Linked DNA regions of Drosophila melanogaster. The protein of the gene in region 3 interacts with the protein of the main gene of each other region in a pairwise test. Each region holds a gene or a part of one and is shown on either strand. Other genes may lie near its edges.

What was found.
Region 1: the proteins of CG15167 (region 3) and NFAT interact in a two-hybrid assay, tested with the Drosophila melanogaster proteins (one large-scale study listed by BioGRID).
Region 2: the proteins of CG15167 (region 3) and CG15631 interact in a two-hybrid assay, tested with the Drosophila melanogaster proteins (one large-scale study listed by BioGRID).

What each region holds. Positions count from the first base shown.
Region 1 is NC_004354.4:13,643,577-13,648,202, reverse strand, and holds the start of NFAT (NFAT nuclear factor), read right to left. Parts: upstream 3,025-4,626; 5' UTR 2,646-3,024; coding exon 2,399-2,645; intron 1-2,398.
Region 2 is NT_033779.5:4,731,889-4,736,393, forward strand, and holds CG15631 (uncharacterized protein), read right to left. Parts: upstream 2,571-4,505; 5' UTR 2,539-2,570; coding exon 2,418-2,538; intron 2,367-2,417; coding exon 619-2,366; 3' UTR 525-618; downstream 1-524. Other genes in the region: fipi (factor of interpulse interval), read right to left, coding at 3,659-3,879, 3,961-4,452.
Region 3 is NT_033779.5:18,738,440-18,741,336, reverse strand, and holds CG15167 (uncharacterized protein), read right to left. Parts: upstream 980-2,897; 5' UTR 928-979; coding exon 577-927; 3' UTR 530-576; downstream 1-529. Other genes in the region: CG42752 (uncharacterized protein), read left to right, coding at 1,331-1,819.

The sequences.
Region 1 (4,626 bases), on a different chromosome or scaffold from region 3:
AAAAGGAAAAAAAGGATTTTTGGCTCAACTGCCTAAGCTTAATATGCATTTACAGATAAAATAGCTCCTTTCGCTTCCAATGGGAAAACATAGATAAATGCAAACAATCAAATATAAAAAAGTGTCAAATGCAGTAAATGATGACAAATAAAAGGCGTAATTCTAAAAAGAAACCTTCCATAAAAATAAGCTCACAACTATTAAATTACTTTGTCAAATTCGAACGCCCAATTCCCAACGAAATCCATTTAATTCTGTAGAAATCTCCCATGAAACTATGTTCCGTTCCTTAATTCCGGTAAAATCGTTAAACAATTACGAGCTAATTTATGAGATAAGAATCGAGCAAACAATAGCGCCTTTGATAGCAGCAACGAAAGCAAACAAACTTTGATCTTCAATTACGAATATCCCTCGGTGACGTGCGTTGCGCTCCCAAAAAAAACAAATTCGGAAAAAGATGGAAATTATGTAGACATACATGGGTGGTACACAAATTAGGAAGGTGAGAAAATCTGTTCGACTCTTGGCTCTTGTCAAGAGGGCATAGGTACAAAAAAAAATAAATAAATAAATAAATAACACCCACGCGATCCGCACCCTTTTGGCCTAACCTTGGCTGGCAATCAAACAAAGAGGCAAACATTTATTGTTGGGCTTGCGGAACGCGCCCAACTACCTGCACACAAAAGCGGGAACCCGCAGAACGGATCCCGCCAAATGGGCTTTACCTGGCACGGCTGCAGATAAGGCAGATACACGGGTTGGGATCCGTGGCGGGGTGGGTGGTGGTAGATGATACGCGGCGATATGCGCCCATTGTTTCCAAGCAGCTAAACTGTCGTCTTATTACAGAGCAGATACAGATACAGATGCAGATACAGATGCAGATACAGATATATATGCAGATACAGATACAGATACAGATGCAGATACAGATACATATGCAGATATAGATACTAAAGATACTGCGGTTAAATGGATACGTTAACGATATGACAATCGGAGCTAGCCTAAAGCCACTTTCGTCTATCTAGGATGATACACCAGAAGCAGACTCAGGCTTTGCACTCAATTGGCTGACAAAACGAATAAGGTGACTTTAATTCAATTCACAGCGGAGATCAGGGCGAGGTTGGTGTAAAGAATCAACCTGAATAGTTAAACACAGATGTTGGTTGTCTCGGGAATTTGCAATTTCTATAATTAAACGCAGACTCCTCCGGACGAAATAACAGCTTCGTAGAGGTGAATCCAAAACAGATTGTCAATAAAAACAATAAATTAAGTGTATTGAACCCAGCCCACTGTGACCCACTGTGCTCCACCCCCCTAACACCCCCCCTCCCGGTACGCTATTGTACATCCTTCACTACGGTGAAAGATGAGCCCCTACCGGTCAAGTGGATCGAAAACCATGTCATAGCGGAAATGAAAACCTAAGAAGTCGGGCCAATTTGTTCAATTGAAAGTAGATGGTTGTAGGTACTTTAAAATGTTCCACATCTTTAATAGAAATATTCAATTACTTTTCCATGCATATTTTGTTTAGATCGCTCAACAATCACTTCTTCTCCATGCTGATCTCATTTTTGTTACCATCTCCCCACAATCCAATTAGCGGACTGGTCAAGTGGTTCGGGCGTTTGATTGAAATGCCTGCGTCTTGGCTATAGTTTTACTGTTTTGCCAGTAATCTTATCGCTCGGCCAAACTTGGCAACTGGCGAAAAGCGTTAAACAAGAACCGACAACCGACCAAGAAGTAAAACCGATATGAAGGAGCATGGAATTGAATCACCGGAGACAACTGGCGCCTCTCGCGTAATCGGAGATTGGGGACCTCGACATTTTGTGCTTGAATGTTTGGATCTTTTGCTGGGCTGGCTGGCTAGGAAATATCGGCCTGGAACACCCATCCATATCGATTATGACATGTTATCAGAGAGCGGAGGCGCAACAAGAGATTTGTTTTTCTTTTTTGATTCGCCTAAACAACTGTGGCGTGTTTGCCGATAAGCCAGCCCATTAGCATTTGATGTTGGGATAGTACAATTAAGGCGATGTCTGGATTTCGAATGTATGTTTGTACATACATACAAATACAAATTGGTGAATAAAAAACGTTTAACTCTTGTTGTCAGCTGGCATTCCAGCGAGGTCTAACTATCGAAAAACCGTAGCAAGATATTAGAAACTCATAATTTTCGAGAAACGAAGGGGTATATATCTTTATGGGGCACCTATAAAATTGATACAATAACAGAATGTTGGGCACTAATCAAACATTCATGAGTACTCAGAGTGTAAGTACAAGATTTGAACGAACTTTTCTTATGCAAATATCTTAAGGATACTTTCTATTGTATTTCATACTACATCTCGTAACACATTCTTACCGAAATTACTTTTGTAATGATGCTGATAGGCTTGGAAATTTGTGTTGTTATTGCCGCCATTGTTGCTATTATTGTGATGGGCATAGTGATGGCCACTATTGTTGCCATTGTTGTTGTTGTTGGTGTGGCCACCCCCATTATTATTATTATTACTATTATTGTTGTTATTATGGCTCAGATTATGCATTTTAGATGGAATCCGATAACCGGACTCATAATGTTTATACTGATTGTAGGTGAATCGCATTTTGATTGATTTTCACTGGACTCTTTAAATAACTTTAATTAACTCTTATGGCTATTTGTGGTGCAATTAATTTATTTTCGATTAGTGATTGTTCTTTCCACTCTTTCTACTCTCTCCTCGAGTTTCTCGTTCTCTTTTTGGGATAAGTGCTTTTAGTATATTTTATAATTATGTTTACAGGCATCGATTTTGTTGTCTTCCCTCTGACTTGTATTGTTTTTGTTGATTTGGTAAATATTGTTGGCACATTTAATTGTTTCTTTGTGTTTTAAATTAATATTTGTAATTTTGGATTGACTTTGTACATTTGTTTTGTGTGTTGTTGCTTTGTTTGTTGGTAAATTTGCTCTGCAGTTGCTTTAATTGTTTGTATCTACCAGCTATTTAAATAAAAAAAGAAATACAACTTAGTATAATGCATGAGACGCGTGAAAATCGACAGAAAAACGCCCAAACGTAACGTTTTTAAGCATTTTGCAACGCTTAGAAAACGCTCGTAAAACGCACTCGAAACGCTTCGAAAACAGGTTGAAAAATTCGTTGTTTCGTTTTGTTTTGTTTCGGCACTTCGCTTATTTATTTATTCATATGGCCGTTTGGTTTTTTTTTTTTTCTTTTTTGGATTTTTGTTTTGTTTTTGTATTTCGTTTTTACAGCTCGATGCGAAAAACCGAATCCGACTGAGCGATGTAAAAATGTTGCTTTTATACTTTTATACACACATCATCTTTAATAGCCGGCGCGGTTCAAAGTCCAAGCGACAAGAGCAGGCAGAAAATAAGAAGATCGCATTGGTTTAATGATCATTTTGTTGCATATTGATAATGATTATGATAATCGGGGGAGAAGTTGCATTGGGCGGGGGACCTTAAGTGCATTCTTTTTCCCTTTCCCCAAACTGGTTTCGTTGTCCAAGGCGCCTTGAAAAAGTTGAACTCGTTTCTGTTTTCCATTTTTCATCTTTTTTTTTTTTTTGATCCTTCAATAGCTTCCTGGTATCTGTCTTATTATTATTTTGTTTTTGCTACATGATCTTCGTACCCGTTTACAGTTAGAGTTCGGAATCGGAAAACGAGTTCCACACGATCTCGAGATTCTTCCCTGTTCTACTTGTTTGGATGCCCTTTTACTTTTCGGAGAGGAATGTAAAGCCCTTTTCAGTGGCAAGTTCCACAAGGTCTCAAAGAACTACACATTACACGCTTCAATACCATAATGATTTAGGCACTCAGAACTACAATTTATGCTGAGAATAATAAAATTACAGAAATCTTCAACTATGAATGCCGTGATAAGAACTAGTCTCAAAAGTATTGAATACCATTTTACATATTCTATACCGTAATTTACCGACTTTAACAACCGCTTTTCGCTCAGTGCATTTCAGATTTTTTTTTTTTGTACACGAATTTAACGACTAATCGAGGTGACACAGATAAGTGTGTTAGCACCGACGACCCCGCCCCTTCTTCTGTAAGCCCCACCACACCACCGCCTCCTTTGGGCATTGCCTTCAATGGCCTGTGGTTTCGGCATGGATTGGTCTGTACTCTGGTATTATTTTTTTTCGTTTTTTGACAATCAAATGCCAAGGCAAGTTCTTGGCTTGATTAAATGCTCATTGAAATTGTACGGTGTATTTATCAGCAATCGGTTTTTTTTTTTTAATATATATATGTGTGTATGTGCTGTGTCGTGTGTAATGTGTGTAGCGACTATGTAGCCGTTGGTTTTGTGAAAAATCATGATCTTGTTTCATTGACCCACATTGAACGTGTAATAAACGAGCCTCGAAGTGAGCAGAACAAACTAAGCTGATCTTATCTGATCTGCGCGCAGCTCAGATTATTATTCGCTTTTAATTTACGATCAGGAAGCGTTGGGAAATCTGTGAGGATGCTCAGAAATTTCACGGATTAAGGAAACTAGTCTGGAAATTCGAGTTGCCATTGTTTTCCGACAGCAACCAGCTAAATCCCTT
Region 2 (4,505 bases), about 14 Mb from region 3:
TTGGAAATTAAATAGCCGGGCTGATTGTTTTGAACCGCACCCAAATAACGGCCACGCTCATTGCTGCTCATTGTGATGCGAATGACGATGGCCAATGGTAAATGTCAATGATGAGCGGAGCATCCATGTCCATGTGTGTAGACAGAAAAATATTTAACGCGCGGTCGGGCAATAAAAGTCACCACGCACAATATGGCGCCCAGTCGCAATGCATATCCGCATACGCAACAGCATCCGCATCTGCATCCGAATCCGACGTTTGGCATTCAACTGATTTATGCGGCTGTCAACGCAGTGCTCCTATTCCTTGCCCCAAAAAGCCCCCCCAAAAAGGCATTCCGGCCAAAAGCGCATATGCGGGTCCTTAGTTGAGCCCCAGTTGATGTGGCTGATTGACAAACCGCGCCCGTTGAACAAATGAACCATTTGCCATGCGGTCCGTCGGTTGTGCAAATGGCAGTGCAACCTGTACGGTTAGCTTTATTGAAACTAATCAGAATTTCCTTTGATCTATGCTGGCTTTTAAAATTATAAGGTCTTTTATTACAAAATTTTAGAAATACGTTGTAAGTTGGCTTAACTATAACTTTTGCTATATATTATTAAAACTGATATCTTTCAAACTGATGGTAGTTTTGTACGGGCACTTTTCTTATATCTTATCTTCATTTCTGTCTGCATATCCATCAAAGTCGTTTGAGTGGAAACTGAGTGTAACTGACTTCCAGTTACACTCCTAGTGTCGTGCTCAGTGATTTTGGTATAGGATCGCGGAACGGAGTACAGGTATTTCAGCTGCTCCAAAGGAAGTCCGAGAACCCTGCCGATATATTCCTTGCCCACCATGCAGGAGCCACGAAGTGGAGAATCGCAACCACCGGTCTGCCGCTTTGAATGATGGTATTCAAAGACGATGCCCAAGTCGCAGTTCTTCGACTTGATGGTATTCCGCACATCAATTACACTAAATGTGAGTATGTTCTGAAAAACTCCCAACTCGATGGCCTCCTCTATGGCCGCATCAGTGACCAGGTAACAACCAAGGGAACAGTCCGAGCTCAGATCCCGCACATTTACGTGATAGACATTGTCTGCTCGCAGAAATATGGATATTACTATGTCTGTCAGGGAACGATCCCAAAGTGAGTCCAGCAGTTGCCTATAGAAGCTATCAAGTATTTTCAAACACTGCCCATGACAGAACTGACAGGTGCTCGAGGTCTTCTTGTCCAGCCTTTTGGCGCCATCCATTTTCTGAATGCACTCTTTGGCCAAATGCTGAACATTGGCATTGAGGCTATTCACCTGCGTGCGGATATCGCAGAGTTCCTGGCTGTGAAGGCCCTCCAAACGTCGATTCATCTCCTCCAATTGGTTGGATAAGTCGCATATAGCCGGGCAGTTGGAACATGGCGGTGGATTCTGCGAGCAATGGGGCTCCTCTGGTATATAGTAACAGCAAAATTGGTCTTCGCTCTTGCAGTCACAGGATTCGTGGGTATCGGAAGTGCAGATTGAATTTGGAAAAGTTTCTTCAATTTCCACTGTAGGCTGACCACGATTTGCTAAAGAATCTTTAGAGCTGTGAGACTTAATAAGGCGGTGACTCTTTGCTTGCTTCTTTGTGGATTTTCGAGAACTATTCGTGTGGTGTGCAGACTTCGACTTGGAGTGATCTGTGCTAACTATTTTGGAATTCTCAGATTGATCCTTCTTTAATTGTTTAATTCCTCCACCTGTGGGCACCACAATCAACGGTCTCATGCAAAATCGTGAAGCTGTTTGATTCCTGGACGACTCCTTCATCCGTTGAGGGGCTGGCTCTTTCGGCGTTTGAGCGGGACAAGATTTTGTAATATCCCTCTGTTGCTCTTGGCTATAGCAAACGTTGATGGAGGACAGGCTGGAATCATGGGACACCGTACATGAGGTGTCCCGGAAGTGCAGATCAAATGTGGGAATATCCTTGGCCGCGGGCTCTTCAAAGGACACACAGCTCTGACGCTGGTTCTCGTGTCCATCGCTGCGTGGGGACTTATTGGGTTCCGGTATGGAACAGCGGGTGATTTTCAGGCTTTTATCGGATGCACTTTTATTGCCCCGGCAGGAAGGTTCATCATTTGTGGCGCAATCAGTTGGCTTCGAGCAAGAAGGCTTACAGGTATCATTTTGCTGGTCGTGGCTTTGGTTGTGTTTATTTTTTTTCTCCTTTCCGGATTTATTGAATTTCGTACAGAATCCGCCAGCTGAGAGGCGGCTATGTGAGCCCTGCAATTTTAGAGTGGTCCTGGATTGAAATCTTCTATGCATGGAATTTTGCACACGGATGAGGGTTGCCATATACCGCTGATATACTCTATTGTATTCTAAATAAAAATTTTAATTTTATGTATTCATTATTAGCAAGCTTTACTCACCCGGATCTGAGCTAAACCTATATATTTTTTGTGAATTCCTCATAATTTGATCTTCTAAATTAAAGTCTGCATTTAGCGGCTGGTTCGAGTTCTGACTAAAATAATGAGCTCGTTTTTCCATCTTGCAACATTTTTATGCTTTGTACTTTTTGTATATAATTTTTGAGCCGAATATTAGAAATTAACACTAAAAGCTACGCCAACTAATAGGCATTTTTTTTACTAAAATATTTATATTCTATTTACTTACTGATTTATACATCAATAAATCGAAGCACAAACGGTTCTGGTTTGATATTCATAACTTTTATTATGGCTCACACACAATTGGCAAACGAAAGTTGGAAAATATTAAATCTTTGGCTAGGTATTATGGTTTAGATTTTACACCACTTTAGCTGAAATACATTTAATTTTATTGAATATAAATAACTTTTGTAAAATATGTGTTTGTTTTTCTCTCGTTTGCATAATATTTGTATTGTGGCAAAGTGTTTAAACTTATTTTTACATCTATATTTTATTCTGTATTTTTTAGCCCTGGAAATTTACACGTGGAATTGTTTTTATTGGCCTTTGACTATTAAAAAGAATTATGTGACATATAAAACTTTTAAATGCTGTCGTTAAGCTCCTTGATATTTATATTAATTGTTTGATGCGTTTAATGGTATTCCAAAACTTTATATATTTATGTAGTTTAGTTGAAAAGATTGTTAGTTATATCGAATGACGGAAGGCATTTGTTTGTATATACTAAACTAATGTACTTTTTTAGTTTTGGCAACTGTCTGATTATATCTTAAAGATTTGGCAACGAGATGCAAAGTTGCAGGGAAAACTTCCAATTCACGTTAAAATATATACTGGAATGTTGAGCAAAGCTTTAGTTTTGCATAATTTTGGGGAGCCAAGGCCAGCAAACCATTGATTATGTCTAACTGCTATGAGGATTTGTTTAAATACATATAAATATCCTATAAGTGATCCACTAATATCATTCAAATCGAAGCACTGAAAGCGTAATAGAAATTCTTACTAAACTTAACATTCTTTAAGGTTACATTAACGCACTGAACTTAAGAGTAAACCAAATTACTTAGACCGAGCAAATCAGACAGAAAAGTGTCGCCGTGTGGACACGCCTTATAGCTATACAAAGCACATGGGGTTTAAGGTCCTGGTTTCCGGTTCCGCTAGGTGCATCACCTGTCATCCTTCATCCGCCTGCAGATTCAGATTCATCCCAGGAACGGCCGCATCAGGACCATTAGTGTCATCACACCCAGTTCCACGCACATATTTCTGGTCTCCTTGACTCCCGAAGAGACTCGGGGCTCCAGCGAAAGTGTCTTGTACTTCTCCACCTTGGTGAAGTCACTGAATCCGGCCAGATTCCGTGATGCGGCCCGCACCAGGTAAACGGTATCTGGCTCTAAGTTCGTCAGAAGGAAGGTAGCCCCTAAAATTTATAGAATCCATGAGTTTACATATCGAATGTAGCAAGAGATAGCTTTTATCTATATTTTAAAGCTTAACTCACCCTCCTCGAAAGCATAATCCTTCCGCCTGGCATTGGTCCACTTGCCCGCATCCGTCTTGAACTCCATTTCGGTCATGTACTCGATGCGGAATCCATTGACCCCCATGGGACTGTCGGGAGGACCTCGTGGAGCACTCAGTACCACATCGAAGGTGTTTGAATTGAAGCCACGCAGCTGGAAGTTGGCCGGTGACGGAGGCTTCTCGCCCTGCTCCAGTCGCGTGGTCCTCTCGATGGTGCCCAGATCGTTCCTGGCGCGACACCTGTAGTTATCGAAGGCGCTGGTGTTCAGCACATGGATGGTCAGACTCGACCAGTAGCTGTCCGACTGGATCGTGTACAGTCTGTTGTTGCTGTGCAGCTTGTTGTGTTTGCGATACCATGTAAAATTCGCTGGAGGTTCCGCCAGTGCCTCGCACATAAGAGTCGCAGTTCCGTTTATGTAGGCGTACTTTAGACTAACAAATGGAGTCTTGGACCAAATGGGCTTGTCTGCACAGGGGAAAATATCAAGGATGATATAAAAAAAACTAAAGTATTTAAAA
Region 3 (2,897 bases):
GCGCAGCGCCGAGCTCGGAAAATCTTGAAAAATTAAAATGACTAGTGCCGGGGCACGATCAAGACCGTGCTGCCGTCTTGATAGCAGACAATGGCAACTCCGGAGGAGATGGAAAGCCCAAAAGCGAAACCTCAGCGGTAGTCAGCATTGGGGCGTCTGCAGTTCAACGTTCAAGTGGCACAGTACGCCCTAGAAAAATGAATTGATTCGATTGTTTTTCGCCGCAACTCGGGCTCCTCTACTTTATCTGCCAGCGCCGAGCGGAAAAATCTGAAAATGGTTAGACAAAAAAAAAACGAAAAATCAGGGGCAGAGGCAAAGGCAGAGGCAGGGAGCGCGCCCCGAAAAATACTGATGATACAATCGCGTTTTTGACTTTGAAAAGTCAGCTTCGAGTCAGCCGGGCTATTGTTCAATGGCCCAACTGCAGCAGCGGCAACATCAGCAACAGCAGCAGCAGCAGCAGCAGCAGCGGCCGACACTGATTGTTATGGTTTATGAGATGAAAATGCACTCGAAACAATATTCTGGGGCCAATGCAATTTGCGATTTTTAATCAACTCCTCTCGTCAGCACTCAGCAACAGAAGAAAACATCGTATTTGGGGGCCCCTGATTGCAGCTTCCACTTCGAGAATCGTGGCTCCTTCATCTGGCTTTTGATCTTCTCCCCGTCCCCGAGATGATTCCCCTGGCTCCTAGCCTGCATCCACTCGACCATCATCTGCAGGCCAGCAGAGCTGCCCTCCAGTTCGCCGCCCACTTTGCGGCCACAGTGCGTATGCGCGATGTAGCCACACACCTTAAGTTCTGCGGCTTTGTGGGCCACAACTGAAAGCAGGGCCTCATCGGAATCTTCGGGCACACTCATTTCATACGCTAATAGGTAGATCTCTGGCTGCGGTTGGAGTACCAGTTCCAGCGACATTTTTGGGAATGGAAATTTGAGTATGTGAGTTTTCACGGCTTTTGAAAATAAATGATCCAGATTTCCTAAGTTACTCTGCTGATGATATATAATCGAAAAATTTGCGTGGAGTAAACATCACTGATCCATCCAAAGGTAAGCATTTAAAACAAATTCTGAATCTTTAAAAATGCTATACTTTTATATTTATATAGATTTTCGTAAAAAGTATTTTTATAAACTATCAGGAAACGTATTTTAAAACAAAATGTCAATTAATAATTATGCTTTGCGTAAGTCATCAGTTTAATCAATTTAGTTTAAAAACAAACCTACACGCCAGTAAATTTAGCTTAACACTCAGTACAATCCAAAATTATAGCCCTAAGTTATTTGCATATCTTTCAGCAAAACTAAACAAGAAATGACATTATTAGGGTCCTACGATTGGATGTTCAATGAGGATATTCAACTTAGGACCGAGTTTAAGTTGTACAACATAATGTCAAGGAACCAATTTCCGCGTCGAATTCTTCAATATTGCCACAAAAACCATATAACCGGATACATAGTATTCACCCACGGGGGCAAACAAGCATTTGGAGTGATGGATGGCAAGCGGAAAGATTTAAACCGGATAAAGCCCTACCTTCTGAGGTTTTGCATTCCAGAACCCTTTAACCAACGAGTCACTTTTTCAGCCTACGAGTTATGCTTCAATCCGAACAAAGAGAAATTTAATATTAAGGATAGAGTTCCTAAGGGCGCCAAGTTTCTGGGAGATATATACGAGGACTGCTTTCTGAGGTTCAAGAATCAAAAACCGGAACCGGAAGAGGAAACCGAGGCAACTAAAGCCTTGTTCGCAAAATATTCCGACTTCTTTAACTTAAAATATTTCGTCAATTGTTAATGGACAATATATAGCTAAGACTATGCCAGCACAATTCCCGATTCTCTTTAGTCGCAGTGATTTCTCGCAGTGTGGATGCGACTCGTGCTGGCCATTGTTCAACACTATTTGCGGCACTCAATCTCTTAATTAAATATGCGACTAACTGGCAGCTCGGAGGCACTCGAAGAGTGGCCCAGACATCGCCGTTTAGTGTCGAAATTGTGCAAGTTTTGATTTTCCTTTTGTTGTTATGGAAGTCGCTGTTTGTATTTTTTTTTTGTTTTTGTTTTTGTTTTGGCTTGGTTTGGTTTTCTTGTTCGCTGGATAATCACAGGCCCGGCGAATAGACGGCAGAAATTAAATCAGCCAAGGTTATCGCATTAATAAGCCCCCTGGTTTGGGTTTTACAGTTTTCTGAGCCAGTCAATTATTAAATTTGCAATTTCCGTAGCTGAACTTTTGGGGTCAGTAGACTGATTTAAATCAAAACCGTAATTGAGCATTGCCCGCGAGCTAGAACCAATCGCACCAAAAACCAAATACCAAATACCAACCTCCGGGCAGGAAAATTGACAAATGTTTGATAGCTAGCTACCTTTTCGGATTGCTTGTTTCACGTGCATTTATTTTCCTCCAAAAGCGGATGTGGGGACGCTGCGAATCCGATTCAGAAAATGTACAGAAAAAAAATCGAAAATCAAAAACTCCCAGCTAAGTGGCTTTCCATGACATTTTACTGACACTCTTGCCGTTGAACTGGAAGACCTGTTTTCATTTTCCCTCTTAGCGCAACTTAACACATTTGACGAAGATGTCTATGCCAGCAAATGACGTGTCATCAATGGAGCCCGCACTCCCACATAAAGATGCACAGCGTCCTCAACTCGATCTCGGATCTCACATCTCGCATCTCGTACCCCGGCCACAAATCCCCAGCACTTGAAGCTTGAAGAGATCTGTTGGTGCTGTTGTATTAATAAGCCTGACATTTGAGCAGAGCATCCACTCGAAGCCATCGGGTTTCGGTTTTGCGTGTAGGCGTCTGAAAATAATAATTAAAAAATCGTTTCTAATGCGGAAATCTCGCGTTTTTGAG